3 linked regions of the Caenorhabditis elegans genome follow. The protein of the gene in region 3 purifies or fractionates together with the protein of the main gene of each other region. This does not show direct contact. Each region holds a gene or a part of one and is shown on either strand. Other genes may lie near its edges. The genes, in order: fbxl-3, hrg-11.4 and ZK795.3.

Region 1 (6,858 bases), on a different chromosome or scaffold from region 3:
GAGCCTCATCAAGCATAATCAACGAATATCCAGAAAGATCAGGATCAATAAGACATTCTCTCAGAAGCATACCATCCGTCATGTACTTGATAATAGTATCTTGACTTGTACAATCTTCGAAACGAATTGTATATCCAACATCAGTTCCCAGCTTACAACCGTACTCTTCTGCCACACGCTTTGCTACGGACATTGCTGCAACACGACGAGGCTGGGTACATCCAATTTTACCACGTCTTCCAAGTCCAGCTTCAATTGCATATTGTGTCATCTGAGTAGTCTTTCCTGATCCAGTTTCTCCAACAACGACAAGAATTTGATTATCAATCATTGCTTCCATCAGATTCTTTTTCAACGCAAAGATCGGAAGACTTTCTCTCTGCTCAACCATACTCAAATTGGTTCTTCTTCCATAAGTCGCTTTTCCACCAGCTGTCACATGTTTCAACCATTCTGGCATTTCTTTCATTTTATTATTCCGATCCTTTGACTCATCAGCACTCCACGCAGTCGACTGATTTCCAGACATAGGATCAAGAATTCGAGCATTTGAACTGAATCCTTTCTGTGTATCCATATCACGCTCTCGTTGTGCTTGAATTTTCGTTTCTTTTCGTTCTTTTGAAAGAGCACCTTGCATTAAAGCTGCTTGAGCTAATGAACCATCCGGATTTTTGACAACTTTTACAGGTTCTATTTCTGCACCGCCTTTTCCATATCCACGTAAAAAGTCAGGTTCGTCTTCGACAAGCTCGATTTCAATATCCTCGCCATCACTTTCATCTGAAAATTGAAAAATTGTTGTGCTTTAAATGATAGAAACTTTATTTTAAATATTTAATGATTTTTTTTTAAATTTAGCTTTTTTAAAAATTGTCTTTGAATTATCGGGAAAATCATTTCCTTGTAATTTTTCGCATTTTCCTGCTAAATTCGAAATTTTTCCTTTGATATATGCAACTTTTGTCATATTTTGGCTTGTCTGTTGAAACTAAAAAATCGTCTTAAAAACGATAAATTAGTGTCGATTTTTGAGGAAAAATGTCTGCGTGCGCGAATTCAAAAACAATTTAGTCATTTTCAGGAAAAATTAATTTGTTTTAATTCAAAAAATTTTACAATTTTTCTTGATAAATTATTAAATCATAAATTTTATACCATCATTTTTTTCATGTTTTTTTTTCAATCTTGCTTAATTTTTAATTTTATTTGAATTCCCGGGAAAATTATTGCCGTAATTGTAAAGTATTCGCATTTTTCAGGCTAAATTCGATATTTATTCTCCGATGCATCTTTTGTCATACTTTGGCATTTTTCAGTAAAGAAAACCAAATTTAAATTTTGTTGAAAATAAAAAATCGGCTTAAAAACGATAAATTACTGTCAATTTTTAAGGAAAAATGTCTGTAAAACATCATTTTTAGTCATTTTCAAGAGAAATTGAAATTGTTTTCAATTAAAAAAATTTTGCAGTTTTTTTTTTAAATATAAATTATTTTTAAAAAATCATATACCGTATTTCCTCTATTAGTCTTGCATGCAAGACTAATTTTCGATTGACCCGTAGGGGTGCAAGACTAATAGAGACTGCAAGACTATTAGAGGCTGCAAGACTAATTTTCGAAGACCCGATAGATTTGTTCAATTGGCCATTTATCGTCACAAATTTGACTTGAAACAGTCTAAATCATGCAAAATACATACTTTTCTATTGTTTTATCAATTATTTTAACACTTTAAAATTTAATTTAGCTATAAAATGGCGAAATTGTTGAAGTTTTCACAAAATACTGCTGGTCTGGCAAGAATAGGGGTGCAAGACTAATACCGTATGTTCTCTATTAGTCTTGCATGCAATACTAATAGAGGCTGCAAGACTAATTTTAGATTGACCCGTAGGGGTGCAAGACTAATAGAGGAAATACGGTAAGCAAAATAAAGCACCATTTGCGCGGAATTCAAAAATAATTTAGTGATTTTCAAGAGAAAATAATTTTTTTTTCAAATTTATCATTAATTACTAGATCATAAATAAAATACTCACCATCATAATTTCTTAGAACTCCCATTTCTTCATCAAAATCAGGCATATCTGTGGCTGTGAGAACTCCGGCTCCTTGCATTTGTCTTAATTCCCACCGTTCAGGTGTCGAAATTCGAACTCTCGCCTTTCCACCACCAATTGAGGTCGAAGGACCTTGTCCTACTCCACTTGCTTCAGGATTCATCCACGAGGAAGTTGATGCTGGCGGTGTCCGTGGACGAACTCCGATTGCATCCGGATTCAGGTCGGTCTCGCGTGGATTCAAATCTTCTCCACTATTCTGATCGACTTCTTTCATTGACAACGAGATTTTTCCATTTTCAATCTTATTAACTTTAACTTTGACATTTTCTCCTCTTTTCAAAACATCTGCGACGGTTTGAACTCGTTCATTTCGAATTTGGGAGATGTGAACAAGTCCTTCTTGTTTTTGACGGAAACCTTCCAGTGTGATGAAAGCTCCGAACGATTGAATACTGTTTACACGACCATCGTAGATTTTTCCGATTTCTGCAACTTCGGATTTTCTAGCACCACCATCATCTCGTCGATCACGCCGATCTCTTTGTCTGTCGTCTCCTCTTCGATCCCCACGTCCTCTGTCTCTGTCTCTGTCCCGATCCCTCCTATCTCGATCTCTTCTGTCTTCACGACTCCTACTACGTCTCCGACGATCCCTGTCACCACTACGACTTCTTCTTCGTTTTCGATCACGACTCCTTGATCGACTTCTTGAACGGTTTCGTTTTGAATCTGATTCCTTTTGAAGACGTTTCTGTAAATGGAAAATTTATTTTAACAAATTTCAAATATCAAAGATACGTACCTCACTTTCATATCGGCCTTCCATCTTTTCTAACTGAGCCATAAGATCATCTTCATTATCTTCCTTTTCTTTCGCAGTATTTGCCATCGCTAGAGCTGGAAGTCGTGCTTTAATTTCTTCTTTTGCATCAGAAATCAATGTAATTTTGTGTGAATCCTTGATATCTTCTTTTGAATCACCACCTTTCTTGTTTTTCTTTTTAACAGCAGTCATGCTTTGTACTATACGAAGTATGGTCGCAGTGAGGGAATCATCAAACTGAAATTTAGAATTAAAGAGAGGAATATCGAGACTTTTATATTTATGAGACGAATAATGTTTTTTTTAAATCTCGATATTTGATATTCATCAAAATATTTTAAAACACCTTGAATTAAAATAATTTTGAAATTTCCTTTAAAAAAATAATTTAGTCGTTAAATTTTCTCATATTTCAACATACCTGATCCCCAAGTCCCTGACTATCCAAAGCCTTTTTCAGTTTATCAAATGTTGGATTCTCTTGAGCCAAATGAATAACAAACTCAGCGACATCTTTTTCGACGACACCAAAATGGTTCTCAACTTCACTGAGGACCTTGCTCACAAGTGAGAGGTGCTCAAGCTGGTCCATCCTGAAATTTACAGATAAAAAATTTAATAAAATAATTCTTTAAAGCAGTTTTAATTCCGAAAAACTCGAACAATAGAAAATTAGAGTAAAAAAACAAATTCGAAATCTAAAATAGTGGGCGTGGTCTTTCATGCAAACTGCGGCCCGCTTTTTCGCAATTGTGCCGCACAGTGTGCAGCTTTCTTTAATTATATTTTTTCAACAATTATTTTTTATTTTATTGAAGCTGCCGGCTTTCATTTCGTTTGTAAATATGTTTCATTGTGTTTTTTTGAATTTATTTTAGTATTTCCAAAAATGGATATATAAGTTTGTGTTAATGTAAAATCGTTATTGCAAATACCCTTTGCCTTCAAAGTTAACAAAAAACAAGGTCTTTTAAAGCATGATTTTAAATTTAAAAGCTGTTCAAAAACTGCAAATTTTCTAGATTTTCTTTGAATTGGTGCTTTTGAACGTTTCATAGTGACCAATGTGTCCCCAAGCATCCGAATGTCCCGTTTTCTGCGTCTCTTCACTTCCGTATAATCTCTAACCCGACTCACTGGTAAACATGCGCCATTCCTCCTCCGAACAACGACTAGTGAAAATCGATCAAAATTGTTTTCAAATTTATTATTAATGTTTCAATTTCAGAAAACAGTTAAACCTAAAAAATGGATTTCAATCGAAGCTTCACATCGAACCTCGGGAGCGCTGGAAGTGCTAAATCACAACAGGTTAGAGAACACAATTCGATTTTTTGTCTACCAAATAAATGTTAATGTGATAAGAAAACACTAGGGAACAGTAGCCAAATCAAATCATATGGTTCTGTTATCTTTTCTCTCGAAAAAACGTTTTTTTCACACATTTTCAATTTTTCAGAGTATGTTCAAAGCACTCCGCCGGCTTCATGGACAGAACTTGGAGAGCCGAGGGCTTCATGATATGACTGAAGCATTTCAGTCATTTGTCACAAGGGCACGGTTTTTCAGTATTGGAAAATTGAGGTAATATCAACATTTTAGCTCTGGTTTTTTCTAAATTAAAATTAAAATATTTTCAGGCGAACTTGGTCCCACTCTGCCGCAGAGTTTATGAAATATCGACGACTTTTACCAATGTTACTCGCCGATGGAGATGCATTTGATGGAGGAGAAACAGACGGTAATAAATCTTAAAATTTGGAAAAAAAATCAATAATTGTTTTTTTTTTCAGATTTCGATGCATCTATCGCTTTCCAACATACTTCTCGTGATGATCGAAAAATCGTGGTTTCGAATATTTCTGCTAAAGTCACCCAATCACAGCTTCAATCCTTCTTTTCTCAATATGGAAAAGTGTGTTGTTTTAATTATCATTTAAATATAAAATTTTAAAATTAAATTTCCAGATAACCAGCTGCATTCTGCCTCGCGAAGAGAAAAAGACATCAGTGTTCGGAACACTTCCAAAGCATTCCAGAAATTGTGGAACTGCTACTATTACTTTTAAGTATAATTTAAATTTTTTTGGTTTGTTCAGGTCTTTTTAATAATACAATTTTTGCAGAAAGTCTGAGCATGCTGATCGCGCGAAAAATGCGAATCCTGAAGAGTTGAAGTTTTATGATCAAGTTATGGTTGTCTCAGCTGTAAGTTTTTGATTTGGGATTTAATTTTTAAACCAATTTATCTTGTAGTATGTATCGAAAAAACGTGGAGGTAAAGGTCTCGTGCTCAGTGATGATGTTGGAAGTCGTGAAGATACTCCATTGTCCCGTGCTTCATCTACACAGTCGTTAGCTTCAGGATCCGAGCAATCATTCAATTTGGGAAACGTCCCGGATAAAATTCTTAGAAGGGTCATCTCATTTTTACCAATTCACGAAACAATTCGATTGGAACGAGTTAATAAAAAGTTCATGGAAGAATCAATTAAATCCTGGGAACTTGTCAATAAAATTGCATTGGCAAGAGAAACTGTATTCAACAAGCAACGACCAATGAGAACAAGTCATCTTAAAATGAGTTTGAGCTGAAATTTAAAAAAATTAGTTTTAAAAAGTTAATAAAAAATAAAAAATTTCAGGCGATTCTTACTCGTGCTGGTGCACACTTGAGGTCACTTGATGTTTCTGGAATTGTGCATCTTCTTGATGATCGCCGAGCACTTAAAGTCATCGCAACATGCTGTCCGAATTTAGTTGATCTTGATATTAGTGGAACTCATGCTCAGGCTGAAGCTCTCGAAGAACTTGGAGAATCACTTTCACATTTAGAACAGCTATCTTATAGAGGAATGGAAACAACTGGAGACAAGGCATTCTACTTTTTACTTAAAAACTGTGGTCATTCACTTAAATTTGTGGATTTACGAAATTCAAAACGGCTCCACGGACGATCATTCAAATTATTCGGGTCACAACTGGAAAGTTTATATTTGGATGGATCATCAAAAGTAGATGAGATGGCTTTTGAAGATTTATGCACCAGTTGTGGAGGTCTCAAAGAATTACGGATCAATGAATGCTATAAAATCACAGATGAGAATCTGAGTATGATCGCTAGAAGAATGGAAGATCTTTCAATCTTAACATTATGTGGGGATGGATTCAAAAGTTTAACGTCAGCCGGATTGATTCATATTAGTCACATGAGAAATATTACAGAATTGGCGTAAGTTCCATCTGAACCTATGATTAAAATTATATTTATCAATGTTTCAGCCTTGACTACAACGCTCTTGTTAATGATGAGCTTCTTATCTCAATATCAGCTGGTCTACCGCTTCTTTCATCACTCAGTCTTGCTAACGCTGGAAACGATTCGTCGATCACTGCAGAAGGAGTTTCAGCGATTAAAAATCTAAAAGAACTGACTCAGCTTGATGCATCGTCGCTGGCAGCTGTCAATTCAAAAGTTTTAGAGCAACTGGGCTCACTGAAAAAGTTGGAAATTATTCAACTGAGAAATTGCACATATCTTGGTGATGATGGTGTGCGTGCGAAGCTTAGAATGCCAAATATCCGCCACGTGGATCTAAGTGGTTCAATTTTAGTATCAAATGACTCGATTCAACAGTTTATCAAAGCATTCCCATCAGGACCAAAGGTTCGTTAGGAGGAAATGGATAAAATTAAAAATAAAATTTAGCTTCCACCAATCACCCTCGTTGTCGGTGGAACTGCCGCTGATGCTTCAAAGTTGTCAGTTCGAGGATCAAGAGTAGTCGTCGACTTTTCCGATTATTCCACGATTGTCACGATGCAGACAAGCCAATGTTCGTCATCCAAGTTTGCCATTGGAGGATCAGCGTCAGACGCTGAAGGCTCGGATGATGAATTTGAAGCATTGACCGCACAAAGTATGTTTTAAGATTAATTTAGTTCTTTAAAAACTATTATTCAAAAA
Region 2 (6,858 bases), on a different chromosome or scaffold from region 3:
TTATTTACCAAAATAGAAAATTATACCAAGATTGTCCTTCGAAATATAGTCCAGTTAAAAAAATTTTTTTGCCGGGCAGCCCCAGTCCACCTGAAAATAAAGCCACCTACGTACCGTTTCATTATACAGAATTCCTCCATTTTCACAAAACCTTGCTGGCGTCGTCGAAACGTGCACGGAAGGTGTTGTGAATGTAATTTCACTTAGGTCACAGCTAAAGTCGTAGATTCTCTGGAACCTGTTTCCATCACTATCGTATCCTAGAAACCGACAATGAGAGAAGGGAGAAAATAGAAAGGAGAAATACCTCTGAACTTGGCATGATACAAGTTTTGAGACGTACAGTTATAAGATTGTTGAGTGATATGAGGGGTACTGCAGCCGTATCTGAAAAATGGTTTTTCTGCCAAAGCAATTATGTTCATGATTCATCTTTGTTAAATCTAAATGTTCAGGCTTTATTTTTGAATTAAAAAATGCTTCTGCAATATAAACATGTATTTTTTTCAACAGAAAAAAGTTTACTTTCCTTCAATTTTTTTGGATCATCCAAAATTGAATAATGTAGAAAAATTGATTCTATTGAATAATGTAGAAAAAAATTACTCAATTCCAAATTTTTATCACTCTCAAACATTCACCTCAAGTTCAAATCCATTTTCTGATCGAATAGGCCGTTTACATAAAGATGCACCTCATCGGGATGAATTGGAAATTCTTCACTCTCGACTTTAAATGCTAAAAATGCTGCCTGATTTTCAAGTGGGAAACGGAATATTCCTTGATTTGCAGTGGAAAATATTACTTTCTGAACGTCATCGTCACGAACATCCTCTACAAACCCACCATCAACTGTCAGCTTTGTTGGAGCTCGGACTTCAAATATACACGGTCTGAATGATTTTATTTTTAAATGAGATAAGATTTCAAGAGTCTTTTTTTGATTTTTTTTTCACAATTTGGGTCATCTTGTTTTAATTGTGTGCTCACTTGTTCAAATCTGCAGAGAGCTGAACCGTATACGCTCCAGTTCCGTGAACATTCTTTCCGTTGCAGATAAGGTGAATTGTTTGAGTGACGTCCGTGGTGATATCTTTGCATGTGGACACTTCGCCTCCAATCGGATTATAAACTGTTGCCCGCGGATTGAGGGCGTCGAGTGTATTGATAATTACAAAGAACTCTTCGATAAAATTGTCGACGTAAAAAGTGAAAGTGTCGGAGCAAGTCGCACTGAAGATATGTGTATGTATTATGAAACATGTTATTAATCTGGTATTGGTTCTCGAATAACGTAATGAAAATCCAGATAGAGTTTTAGATTATTATTAAATCGCAAATAGAAACCGGAAAAATGAAAAATGGCAATTTTACTATCAACAACAAGTTTCACGTTTTTGACAATTTTCGAGTATTTTTTTTCGAGTACTTTAAAACACGCCTATGGTACCAAAATAACCGAATATCATGATTAAAAAATTCAAAAAAAATTTCTAAATTTTATATGATTTTTTGAAAATTGAAAAAAATCTCAGTTTTTGCCTAATTCCGATTTGAATTTCCGCCTATTGAAGTTGTTCGATGGAGCGCACTTGCACGTTTTAATTTTAATTTATTGTTATTTTGAAAGAAAATGCATGCATTTAAACGATTTCGAACTTGAATTTACAGATTTCACAGACTCACGCTTGTGAATTAGCTTTTTAATCAAAAATTAGCATTTATTTTGACTTTTTCGTCAAATTTCAGACAAAACTACATTGAAAACATGGAAAATTGGTGAAAAATATGACAAAATAACAATAAATTAAAATTAAAACGTGCAAGTGCGCTCCATCGAACAAATCCAATTGGCGTAAACTCAAATCGGAATTAGGCAAAAACTGAGATTTTTTCAATTTTCAAATTTTAAAATTAGAAAAAATTTTTGCATTTTTTTATCATGATATTCGGTCATTTTGGTACCATAGGCGTGTTTTAAAGAAATTTCCCCACTGGCGCCACTCCACCTTTAACTAGAATTAACATTTTCCAGATTCTATTCCTAAATTTTAATGAAAACACTGAGTGAAAATGTCCCACAGGCTCAATTTTTAGAACTGCTGGTTAGCAATCTCCGAGCACTCCACGATTTTCTACAATATTCCCTACTAAAAATGTATACCTGAAATCACTCTCCACTAAATCACCAAATTTTGCAGTACCGTCATGAGGCAGTATATCAATTGACTTATTGTAGCATGTCACTGGAGAGGTTTGATCCAACAGTTTCGGTCTTGAAGAGAAGGTAGGTTGAACCCGTTGAGAAGGTTCCGATAGATTTAGTGCAACAAGTTGTTTGAGTTTCGAATTCACTGAAATTTAATCCCTCTGGCTAAAACTGGTCAAAAAACGTTTTCTGTAAAGATTTGAAGAGGTTCTATTAAATGTGTTGGCTTGGCCTAGCCAGAAAGAGAATCCACTGGCGTTTCCACCAAATTCACTCTTGAAAAAATTGTTCTTAGTTGGTTATTTAATTCATCAAATAAAAATTCCCGCTAGAAGCACAAAAGTGAGCTCAATACCTTTCGTGTAGTTGTGACTCGGACCAGAACTTATGATGTAAACATTTTTAAGTAAGCCTGCTGTGTTTTTTCAATATGTCAAACTTTTGCCAATATTTTCAATTTTACGTGTTTTTTACTTAAACTTACAGCTTTTCGTTAGTTCGCCGTGTTGACTTTTATTGGGAATACTTACTCCACTACAGACCCGCAGTAGTAGAATACTTGTAATTACAAATTTGAGCATTTTACTGAAAAATCGTCTTTATTTAGAAGATATTTCTTAATGTAATAATTAAATAAAACTAAATAAAATTGTTATCAGGTTTTTTTTGTTTGAAAAAGTTAGTTTATCCAATTGAGGCTCTTAAATTAGTTGTCACTGATAATGCGATTATACTCTTCCATTGGCAAGTTGTTCTCATCTAGAATTCGAATAGAGCAGAGGTTGATGTGTTGTGAAAATTCAGTTTAAAATGTTTACATTTCAGGAACTTCTGGAAAAGACAGTGGGAAACAGAAATAAAAATGGTTAAGCGTTCCACTTTGCTTCCAGCTGTTGTTTTTACAGTCGAGAACTTGCAGGTTTTTTGTTACTTACAAGTTTTTTTATTAATCAAACAATTTTTCATGTGATTTATTCAAGTGAGTTATGTTTTAACAGTTGTATTACACTGGCAACGTTCTATAAAGCTTTATAAATTTTTTAAACCACCAATGAAACTTTGTTTTCACTTTAAAAAATGTTTATTTATGCTATTTATAGGATTATTGCAAAGTTTCCGCAAAAGTATAAATAAAACTGCTTTAAAAAGATTTTGAGGCAATTGTTAAGACGTTTTAGGCTGAACAAAAATTCTGAAATATTTAAAAAAAAAAATTTATTAAATTGTTTTGCCTATTTTTAGACTTTATTAAAAGCATTACAAAATTGCAAACTTCCTCATTTGTAATAGTTGCAAACGTTACAAAAGCAGTGAAAACGTGCTCGGAGAATATCAAATCGACTTCTTTATATTCCATTGTTATTTTTTGATGAAAACCCGCTTTAAGTTCTTATAAATTCAATTTGAAAGTCTGAAAGTGAGTTAAATTACTTTCCTAGTGAGTATAACTGGACTGCATGTTGAAGTGGACGACCTCTTCCAAGGCAAACCTACAACGTGTACGTCCTTGCAAGATTTGACTGACAATCCAAGTTTATGGAAAACTTCTTTTCTTTTCAGTTCTGCAATATTTCGAAAATTCGAATAAATTATCCAGCTTTGAAATAATAATTGTTTTTTTTAGTCGAAACTTAGATTGCACCTGACAAGTTGTTAGCGGAAGGAAGTAACTTCAGTGCCAGATTTTAGAACGAGTTTTCACCAACCAAGTTTTTTGTCGCTCTAGATAGTGTTCTGAATATTTTTTTACAAAAAATTTGAAAAGGAAAACTCAACTCGTACCCCTGACATTTTTCTCAGACATTTTTTTTGGTGCACGCGTGAAATGGCTCAAAACTTTATTGTTAAAATAGGGAGCTTTTTTCTCCAAAAATAGCTTTTTAAAAGTTATAATTTCTTGAAAAGTCTGAAAATTTTCTCCTACAATCATGTCTGTTTTTATTTTTGTGTGCCAATTTTTTAAATAAAAAATTGACCATTTTTTGTAAAATTTTTTTTCTGAAAAAAAAAACTTTATTTCTCAAAACATTCAAATAAAAAGAAATAAACGTGGTTGTATGTCAAAATTCTGAATAAAAGTTTTTGGCATATAAAGGGCTGAAGCACAACTGAAAAGCAGAGAAAAGTTTAAATTTGACAAAAAAAATTGAGAAAACGGTGGGCAAGATTGATATTGGAAGTGGTAGACATAAAATTAAGATGAATAATATTGGAAAGTAGTGTGACGGTAAGAAGGGAAACATTGAAAAACCATTAAAACTATGTGATCTGTGGAACATTGAAAGAGACAAAGAAAGCGATGGGAAATTGTTGATTGAAAGAAAGAAGGAAATTAAAGCCGGCTTAATTTCCCATCAAGGTTAAACAAGACAAGAAGCGACTAGAAGTTTTGCAGAACGAAAGATGCGTCGAGATATACAGCTAGCGATTAGGTGTAGCTTACAGACAAAAATCACAGCTGGAATGAAAAATGAAGTAGTGATTTTGCTCTTCGTTGAAGAGAAATTGTGGGGCACTGAAGATCAGGAATTCAAGGGGTACACCAGTATGACGGTTAAAGAAGGAACTATTGATGTGAAAAACTTAATGTTCTTTCGAAATTAAAGATAATAAGATTTTGAAAAAAGTTGGAAATTTTAATTTTATACGAAAACCTTCTGCTCAAGCTTTTCCTGCATTCCATTCAACAATCGCTTGCATTTTGCACGTCGATTTTTGAACCAGATCTGCAATTCGAATTCGATAACTAGTAATCAGTATTAATATAGAATATTACCTTCACATTGTGCTGACTAATATGCGGATAATTCTCTCGATAAGCGCAGTTGTTCAAGCATTGTGTGTACTGATCGATTTGCATCCATGTCGGGTGAGGATTCTCTTCGAACCATTTTTCGAGGACGGGTAGCTCGGTGAGTGGGTCGAACATCAGGCGTGAGCGAGCCGCTGAAAACACTAAAACGGAGATTATTTGCTTTATCGTTGAATTTTTTCAAACGTTCCGCGTCAGTGATTTTATCGAAAAATAGAAGTAAAATTCCACCTTAAAGTTTTCTTGTCGAAAAGATAGAGAATTTTTATGCAGTCATTTTTCATATGCATAGCAAACGCAATCTAAGAGCGTTTTAGAGATAGCAACCAATATAGGTTTTCAGACTGAGTATCATGAACATGGCCACCTTCTCGATAAGTTTGAGCCAGTACAAAATCCCTAGAATATTTCTCAAAATCAAGTTTGCAGTTGATTTTCTGTTTTATTTCTGTAAACACAATACCTAGCCTCATTTTTTTTTCCTCAGATCTCAGTGATCGTAATGGTTGTCTGTGCGAAATTCGACGCCCCACATTTCTCCCTTTGTTATGTGTCTTCGCGCACTTTGTGTATGTCTATGTGTGTTTGTGTGTGTGTGCTCGCTTCTAATTTATGAGTTCTTGGTTCAACCCATCTCCCTCTCTTTTCCGTTAGCCTGTCTGTTTTAAAGCTCTTTGTTGTACCTGATGAGTTGGCGTTTTGCATGGAGTTGGTGGATGATGAGTGGGTGCTGAATGCTCCGAGGTCGAGCCCGCTGAGAAGCTTTGGGGAGGTCGAGGACAATGATTCGCGCATTGAGTTTGCCATATCCGGGGAGGATGCAATTGAATCCTGTAGGAAATGTTGCTTGTTTTGGGATGAATAATTTTTAAAGGTGGACCATAATTGTGTCGAAAAATATTTTTAATTGGCGCTCAGCCGACGCTGACAGTTTGGAATAAATTCAGATTTTCGGCCGTAGTGTTAGGTCTTTATAACCTTATCGGTAATATTTAGCAATTTGGGAGATGTTATCTTTAATGTGAATCAGAATCGAAATAGCCGAAAATCCGTTTTTAGCGTGATTTTTCAAAGCTTTTCAGCACGAGCAACGCTAATCAACCTAACTATGGCACAAACAGTCAAACGTAACTTACAATTTCCGGTTCTGGTTTAATATTGATGGAAAACAAAGTATCTTGAATAGTTTCATCTGAATTGCTATGAATCTCATCATCGGCTGGAGATGGCGAGTCGGAGCCGCCGACAATCTTGGTTTCATCCAGTTTGTCGTAAAAATCAAATTTTTGACGTTGTTCTCCAAACAGGGACTGGAGCAAGTTGAGTTGGAATCCCGGGAGCAGCTGCGCCGCTGTCTGAGCTGACGAGACCTGCACTAGGTCTACTGGAGCTAAGGTACGGGAACTCGAGCGTTTTTGTGTGAACCAATTGCAAATCTGGAAATTCATTTGATTAATGGAGTAATATGTAGGCGCATTAAATTCACCTGTTGATAGCTGATCTTGGAATTGTTCTTTCTGAACGGACTCTGATTGAGCTGGCTTAAGTAATTGTTCATTTTTTGTTTAGATGGATTTGCATCGGATTTGAACCATTTATCAAGACGTGGAATTTCGTAAAGAGTGTTGAATCTTTGTACTTGTGTTGGGCTGAAATTAAATACATACATTATTATGTGTACTGAAAGTAATATGAAAGCAGGCGTTTATCTTTCTTGAGAGTGGAATGAAAAGAAAATCATGTAGCGTATTTCTTCTATTTGTATTGCACCCGACTACCTAACTTTGAAACGTTATATCTTAATTCATTTTAAAGAGTATAAATACACTTTAAAGAT
Region 3 (6,858 bases):
AAGTAAATTTTCAAATTTCAAAAAAAATTTTCAATATTTTTGCAATTTTTTCAAAATTGCACATCCAAAATTATCTGGTAAATTCTACATTTTTCCCAATTTCTAAACTTTCAAAAACAAAACATTGAAATATTTCATGAAATTTTTTAAATCGAAAATCTGAAAATTTCGGTATATATAAGAATGGAGTGGTTCACAAAGCAGTGCATGGTGCCGTACATGTGTTGACCGGTTCATTTTTTTTCTACAGAAAATGCACATACAAGCCGCCATCTCTCCCCTACTACATAGTAGGATTTCGTTTCAAACTTCAAAAACCTGATATGAAAGTTGCACTAAATGTTTTTCGTAGATTCAAAGAACGACTAACGGTTTGGGGATATTTTGAGCCAAGTCTCAAAATAACGAAATTCGTTACTAAAAAATCAGATCAATTTTTTTCGAAATTTTGAACCGCCATAAAATTTTTTGAGAAGTCTCATAACGATATTCTAATTCTTGATTATATAATTTTATTTGAAAATCGCTGAAGCCGGTCATTCCCAGTCATACATCGTATTTTCAGAAAGCACACCGCGGATCCAGACGAAACCCGGCTTCGGACGAAATTCCAGCCGCTGCTCTCATTTCTGTTAATGAGAGAGGATTTGTTCTGAAAGTAGCCCCAGTCAATAAGAATGGAGTGGTTCACAAAGCAGTGCATGATGCCGTACATGTGTTGACCGGTTCATTTAAAAAAAACAAGAGTGAATATTGGTGCATTCAAAAGCTTTTCGTGATCCGGCTCCCCTGCCCGATGGTGAATAGGCTCCGGAACCTCTAATCCCCAATTGCCACTTTCTCAGTCTTCTTTGATCCTTTACATCACCTGTAATTCCACTTTCATCAGTTTTTTGTATCTCCTGTGTCATTTAAACGCCGCAAGACCCCTGTGTGCCTTTAAATGATCACTACATTCCATTATTTATTGTACACACAAAGCGTAATGCCAATAAATAGTTTTGATAGAGAAATGATTTATAGGAACGAATAGGCAAGTCCTGCAAATGCGGAGACACTTGACACAGCAATGATCCCGTAGCGAAGAGAATTGGCCTTCCAGCTCATCTCTCGTTTTATCTTGACGGCGCATTTGACGTACACATCCGATGCCTCCTCGAGCCTCTGAGCTCTTTCAACAAGATCATCAAGTTTTCCCTGTCTCTCCATGATTTTTTGCACATTCTCCTTCATAATGGCCTTCACCGAATCCAATTCTCTTCTTGTTCTCATAATCTTTTGATCGTCCCAACCGACACGGCTCACTGGTGGTGGTTGATGATTCATGCAGTAATTAGTGTCCGTTATTCCAGAACTGTTTTAAATTTGAAACTGTCTTGACAGGCTTTGATCTTTGAATTCATAATATTTTCCCGCCGCCCGTCCCCATGTCCTGCCGCCGTGAGCTAAACAATGGTTGTTATTATTTCGACAATTTTTAAATGTTCTGTAATTTTTGAATCAAAAATTCTAAAAATCTTTTTTCGAATAAAAATTAATTTCATGAACGAAACAAAAACAATTTCAAGGAGAAAACAATAAAAATCAACAAAACATTTTTAGAGAACAAAATATTTTCATTCGTCGTCATCAGCTCTGGAGATGCTGAGGAATGTACGTTTACGGGCAGTATTTGTGTAGGATCTGAGCACCCATTCGTCTTCGGCAGCCGCCAGAGTCTCGAGAGTTCCCAGCTTGATTTGGTAGGCTGAAAATTTGGAAATTAAAAAAAAAATCAAAATACTTTGAAATGTGAATATTTCATATTTCTCGCTTAGTGTTTAATTTCAGCGCAAAATTGTGCTTCGATAAAATAGAAAATGCCCATAATTGTTTCAATTTCCGCTCTTTTATCAAAATTTTCTTACGTTTGAGCTCAAATCTTGGTCCAGCTTCAGTCAGTTCGACTTCTCCGTCATTTTCAGTTTTATAGACGTGATGTCTGAAACTGATGTAATCTTCTGAATTGGAAAATGTGATGATTCGCTTTGAATCCGGTTTTGGCACCGGGAACAAGTGTTTGAGGATTGTGGTGAAACGATGTCCCAATTTCGAATTTAAATTGTCGAAAATCAAATGTGGATACTGTTCGGACATTGTTCCACAATTTGGAATATCGTGTCGCATTACGACATTTGCCATTGAAAAGAATGCAGTTGGACCGAATGGAAGATGACAAACAAGCATTCCATCTGGATTTCCACGTGTCTCCGTGAAGATAATCAGATCCGTTGACTGAAAAATTAATTTCATATTAGAAAATTACTGAAAAGCTGATAAAATTTCAAATATTCAATTTTCCACTAACATCTTGAGCCTTGGACGCTTGCACAACTTGCTTAACATCATAATGACCACGATTGATTCTCTGTGCGTTTGGAAAGATGAGCTTCATCTCCTTGGCGAACATTTTCAGCCGACTTGATGGATCACGGGACGTCGTGATCACAATTTTTGGATCTTGAGCTCCAGCCCAACGATACTCGCTGTCTGTTTCGTATTGCTGAACAAAAATTATTGAAACTTCATCAAAAATCGCGAAAATTACCTGTCCTCCCCAATCGGAGCCTTTCGCCAATTCGATTGCGTCTTTTCGCAGATTATAATCGATTTTTCTGAAAATATTCGTATATTACGAATTTTTCAACATATAAAAGCAAAAAAACTAACGTATTATTCTCCAAAGCATTGCGAATTTTCTCTCGTTTTTCCTCCAAACTTTTCTGTTTCTCCTCCAACGATTTTCGGAAGATAAACTCGCGGCGAAGACGATTCTCGCGGCGAATCATTCTGAAATTTTTCAAAAATTCAATTTTTAAAATTAAAATCAGATGTAAATCGAATATAACATCGAAATTTCCCATAAAAATGCCTAAGAAAAAATAAATAAAACTATTGTGCGTCAGATGAAATGCCTCATACGTAATGTACGCAAAAGTGTACCTGCAAGAAAATGCGCGCGAGTTTTAAATTTAGTTTTTTTCTGAAAAAGTTCAAGAAGTATTTCGTTGAAACTCATGGAATTTTATCATAAATAAAATAATTAATTAAAATCTAGAAAAATTAATTAATCGATATTGTTTTGTACTTGAAAAATAAAACTCCGAAAAATAAAACAAAACGTGACCGTTTGCCATTTGGCAAATATTCAACATTTGAAATTAAAGAAAGCAATAATTAATCCAAAAAATCAATCATTGTGAAATCAAATCGATTCGTTGTTCAGTAATGATCATATCCATTGGTTTCTTACTGTTCTTGGCTATAAGGTGAGTTGGAAGAGTGGAAATTCCAATGTTTCAGATCTCTTCGTGAGAAATTCCAGACTTTTCTGTCAAGTTCTAGTTCTATTTCTTAAAAGTTTAATTTCCAGCCCATGTCATTCTCAAAGTGGTTCACTTTCCGGTTCAGGTGCAATTAAGATGGTCGTGATGGGGAAGGACACTGATGTCGCCTGGCAAAAGACAATTGACGGGGTAATATTTGAAATCTTGTCAGACATGGTGCATCGGAAAGTGTGCGGTACATACGTGATGCCAGAGTGTCTCCTTTCGGCTTGATCTGCGTAGATCTACAAAAAATGCGGGAAAAGAGACGCAGAGTTCTCAACTGATTTTGCATGGTTAAGAACGTGCTGACGTCACATTTTTTTTGGGCGAAAAATTTCCGCATTTTTTTGTAGATCAAACCGTGATGGGACAACCTTGCCCTACGTGAGTACATGGTCACATTATGCATCAGATTTCACGCGCAAGTCACGAATTTTTAAATGTTTGGTTTTTCCAGATTGCCTTGTACATTGCAAAGCATCAGGTGAAATCTCCGCAAATATTCGTTCATGAGAACGGAAGTATTTGCGAATTCATCGGAGGTGTCGATAGATCAAAGATGCGAGCCGACTTCATTCTGGTTATCAAAAAGTAGGCTTGAAATTTCTTCGGAGAATTGTCTTGGCCTCATGGACCTTTTTTTATATTCTGATAAAAAGGGGTTTTTTTCAGACATACCAGCCAAAAATTGAAGTGTGATCCTGAGTGGGGACGTCAAAGTTTTGGGGTTTTGAATGTGAGTTGCCGAGATGTCGGATCACTTTTTTAAATTCGAATTTCAGATCGAAAAGTACCCAACTTTGTCCCAAACTGATGAAGATTTGGCTTTCACCGCAAAGGTAAAAATTTTATTTGAAAAATCACAAAATGCAAGTGAGCTCTACCAAAAAAAGTGTAGTTCTCCTCTAGTGCAAGGTTTTAGAACCTTTTACACTGAAAACTCGTGGAAAATTTAATTTGCAATTTAAGAATATGCCGAAATCACCGAATTTTTCAGATAATCTTCAACTCATCAGAGACGGGTTCTGCAAAACCAAAAACTGTAAAATCCATGGACCAACTGATCAAAATCCTCGAACCAAAGTTTATGGCTCCGCTGAGTCGGATTCCGGATGAATATCCAGAAACAGGTACGGTAACTCCCCCCCCCCTCCATGGAGTCATAATGTCTTATTTCGATTTGATCTTCGAAAAAATGCGGGAGCTGAGACGCAGGCATCTCATCTGGTTTTGCATGGTTAAGAGCCCGCTGACGTCACAATTTTTCTGGAAAAATATTCACGCAAAAATATTTCAGCCGAACGCGAAGAAAAACGGAACCGACGAATTTTGAAGGCCATAATTGCACTTATGGGACTCGCTTTGTGCTCTTTACTGGTCATCATGTTCATGGGAAGTTTGTCAAGGTATGAGATGCACAATGGAAGATTTTTTTAACCTGGTTTTCTCTTCCAGATACAATGAGGCAAAGAAGCAAAAAGAGCTGGAACAGGAGAAACAAAAGAAGCATGAGCAGAAGACCGCTGAAAAATCGGAGAAAGCTGTAAAACCGGAAGCTTCTGAAAAATCTGTAAAGTCTGAGAAATCGGAAAAACCACAGAAAGCCGGTGAGAAGGAACCGCTGATTGATTCATCGAAGAAATCGGAAAAATCGGAAAAATCGGAGAAAGGTAGTGGAAGCAAGAAGGAGTAACTGTCGATACGTGGAAATGGAGAGAAAAGCAAACTTGCAACGAATAAATGTTTTTTTTTTGAAGTTCATGTTTTTTCTACTGTAATTATAGACGACTTTGAAGCCAGGAGCTTGAATTTTCGGCGATCGCAATTAGCTAGTACCCCTTTTTGGTTTGATCTTTGAAAAATGCGGGGGTTGAGACGCAGACTTTTCAACTAATTTTGCATGGATAAGAAGAGAAGAGCTTACGTCACATTTTTCTGGGAAACAAATTCCCGCTCTTTTGTTAGATCAAACAGCAACGGGACAGCCTGACACCATATAACTTCTAATAAATGATTTGCAAAGCGGGGACATCATTGATGGGTTACTGTAGAATATGCCGCGTGGCTCGGTTCCCTTGTCAAAACGCAAATATATTAAAGAAATAGTATGAAAGAATTTGGAGACGCAGAGATTTTTATGGGAATATTCAAATAAAAAATGAATAAAATGGCATTCAACTAGCGGAGAGAACCATTCATTCTACTTTTCGAATACCTGGTGGGTGTTCTCCTATTTTTTTTTCTGATACCTATTTCTTCTATTGCTAAATTTTTGCTGAAAGTTGTTAATTTACGAACGGAAATTAACATTTTTGTGGTTAGCTACTATCCCTACCACTCATCATGTCCGATTGAAAAGGTACGTATTGATGAAATTAAGGCACCAAAATTTAATGAAACATATTAGTGTCATGGGGACGAAATATAAGGGCAAATTTTCTGCTGAATAATTTTTATAGGAAAATTTTTAACATAACGTTAAAATATCCCACATTACGTCCAATTTAGTTATTTTCCAAGTTTTGAGCACCGAGTTTTTATAAAAATGCAGTACTCAACATGTTTTTAATCAATGATATTTTTTACTCAATGATGATGTTTGATCTACAAAAATGCATTTAAAGAAAATAAAAACAAGAGAAAAACTGTAAAATATTATGCCAGTTGACGATTTCTTTGATAAACCCTTTTTTGAGGAAGTTGTTAAAAAATTGCTAGTCAAAAAATAATCATTTCAAATGTGTAATAATCAATTTAAATTGAGTGTTTTTACAGTTGTTTTTTATTAAAAATTAATTACAGAGCTTCTAAAATGTAAACATGAGCCAAACTTCTCAAAAGTATACATTTTCTAAATATGTTGCAATTTTTAAAAATTTTAGTTCTACTTTGATTTTTGATCCCAACAACATCTAAAAAAGTGATAAATAATTTTTTCTTTTCAGATTTGGAAAAAATCGTCCAAAATCGCGTGGCCCAAAAACCAAGAATTGAAAGGTAAGGTGGAAGAGGCTTCGGACATGTAAGAATGCTTGAAAATTATTTTAAAATTCCAAACTTTAAAAAAAAATTGGTATTTACCACAATTTTAAAAACGAAAAAAAAAAGAAAAATTAAAGTAAGAAAAATGATATGCTTACATCATATACATTTGTGGAGTTTTTCAGAGTTGGGAAAACTCACAGATTGTTGTCCCGTGTCAATGAATTAAAAGGTATGGTGCTAACTATAAGAAAATTATTTTATTGAACTTTTTTTTCAGATGAAAGGTTCAGTTCAATGGTTGGAGTTGGGGTACTGGAAATTTTTAATTGTAAGTCTACAGTAATTTAGATCAAAATTTTACTGATCTATCTTCAGAATATCAAAAAAATTGGCCAAAAGTACGAGGAATAACGGAAACTTTTAATTTAATAATTTATTTTTTCGAAATAAAATATATTCATCAAGAAAAGATTACACGAAAATCGTTGGAAGTTTTGAGACAACG

What was found.
Region 1: the proteins of ZK795.3 (region 3) and fbxl-3 fractionate together in Caenorhabditis elegans (co-fractionation; one large-scale study listed by BioGRID). This does not show direct contact.
Region 2: the proteins of ZK795.3 (region 3) and hrg-11.4 fractionate together in Caenorhabditis elegans (co-fractionation; one large-scale study listed by BioGRID). This does not show direct contact.

The regions. Positions count from the first base shown.
Region 1 is NC_003280.10:5,396,164-5,403,021, reverse strand, and holds the start of fbxl-3 (Putative RNA-binding protein EEED8.10), read left to right. Parts: upstream 1-4,119; 5' UTR 4,120-4,139; coding exon 4,140-4,202; intron 4,203-4,350; coding exon 4,351-4,475; intron 4,476-4,531; coding exon 4,532-4,632; intron 4,633-4,684; coding exon 4,685-4,806; intron 4,807-4,859; coding exon 4,860-4,960; intron 4,961-5,017; coding exon 5,018-5,099; intron 5,100-5,147; coding exon 5,148-5,471; exon of another isoform or gene 5,472-5,536; coding exon 5,537-6,123; intron 6,124-6,173; coding exon 6,174-6,558; intron 6,559-6,600; coding exon 6,601-6,811; intron 6,812-6,858. Other genes in the region: putative pre-mRNA-splicing factor ATP-dependent RNA helicase mog-5, read right to left, coding at 1-783, 2,045-2,819, 2,871-3,128, 3,313-3,483.
Region 2 is NC_003284.9:422,836-429,693, forward strand, and holds the start of hrg-11.4 (VWFA domain-containing protein), read right to left. Parts: upstream 2,801-6,858; 5' UTR 2,791-2,800; coding exon 2,694-2,790; intron 2,355-2,693; coding exon 2,165-2,354; intron 1,234-2,164; coding exon 991-1,233; intron 894-990; coding exon 642-893; intron 388-641; coding exon 308-387; intron 261-307; coding exon 115-260; intron 1-114. Other genes in the region: Homeobox protein dve-1, read right to left, coding at 4,852-4,935, 4,986-5,164, 5,705-5,852, 6,158-6,457, 6,508-6,670.
Region 3 is NC_003282.8:12,555,336-12,562,193, reverse strand, and holds ZK795.3 (Brix domain-containing protein ZK795.3), read right to left. Parts: upstream 2,830-6,858; 5' UTR 2,829-2,829; coding exon 2,710-2,828; intron 2,655-2,709; coding exon 2,588-2,654; intron 2,543-2,587; coding exon 2,348-2,542; intron 2,275-2,347; coding exon 1,908-2,274; intron 1,748-1,907; coding exon 1,617-1,747; 3' UTR 1,522-1,616; downstream 1-1,521. Other genes in the region: snb-7 (V-SNARE coiled-coil homology domain-containing protein), read right to left, coding at 1,018-1,326; ZK795.2 (DsbC domain-containing protein), read left to right, coding at 3,268-3,308, 3,413-3,515, 3,826-3,959, 4,041-4,104, 4,151-4,207, 4,366-4,498, 4,666-4,774, 4,824-5,061.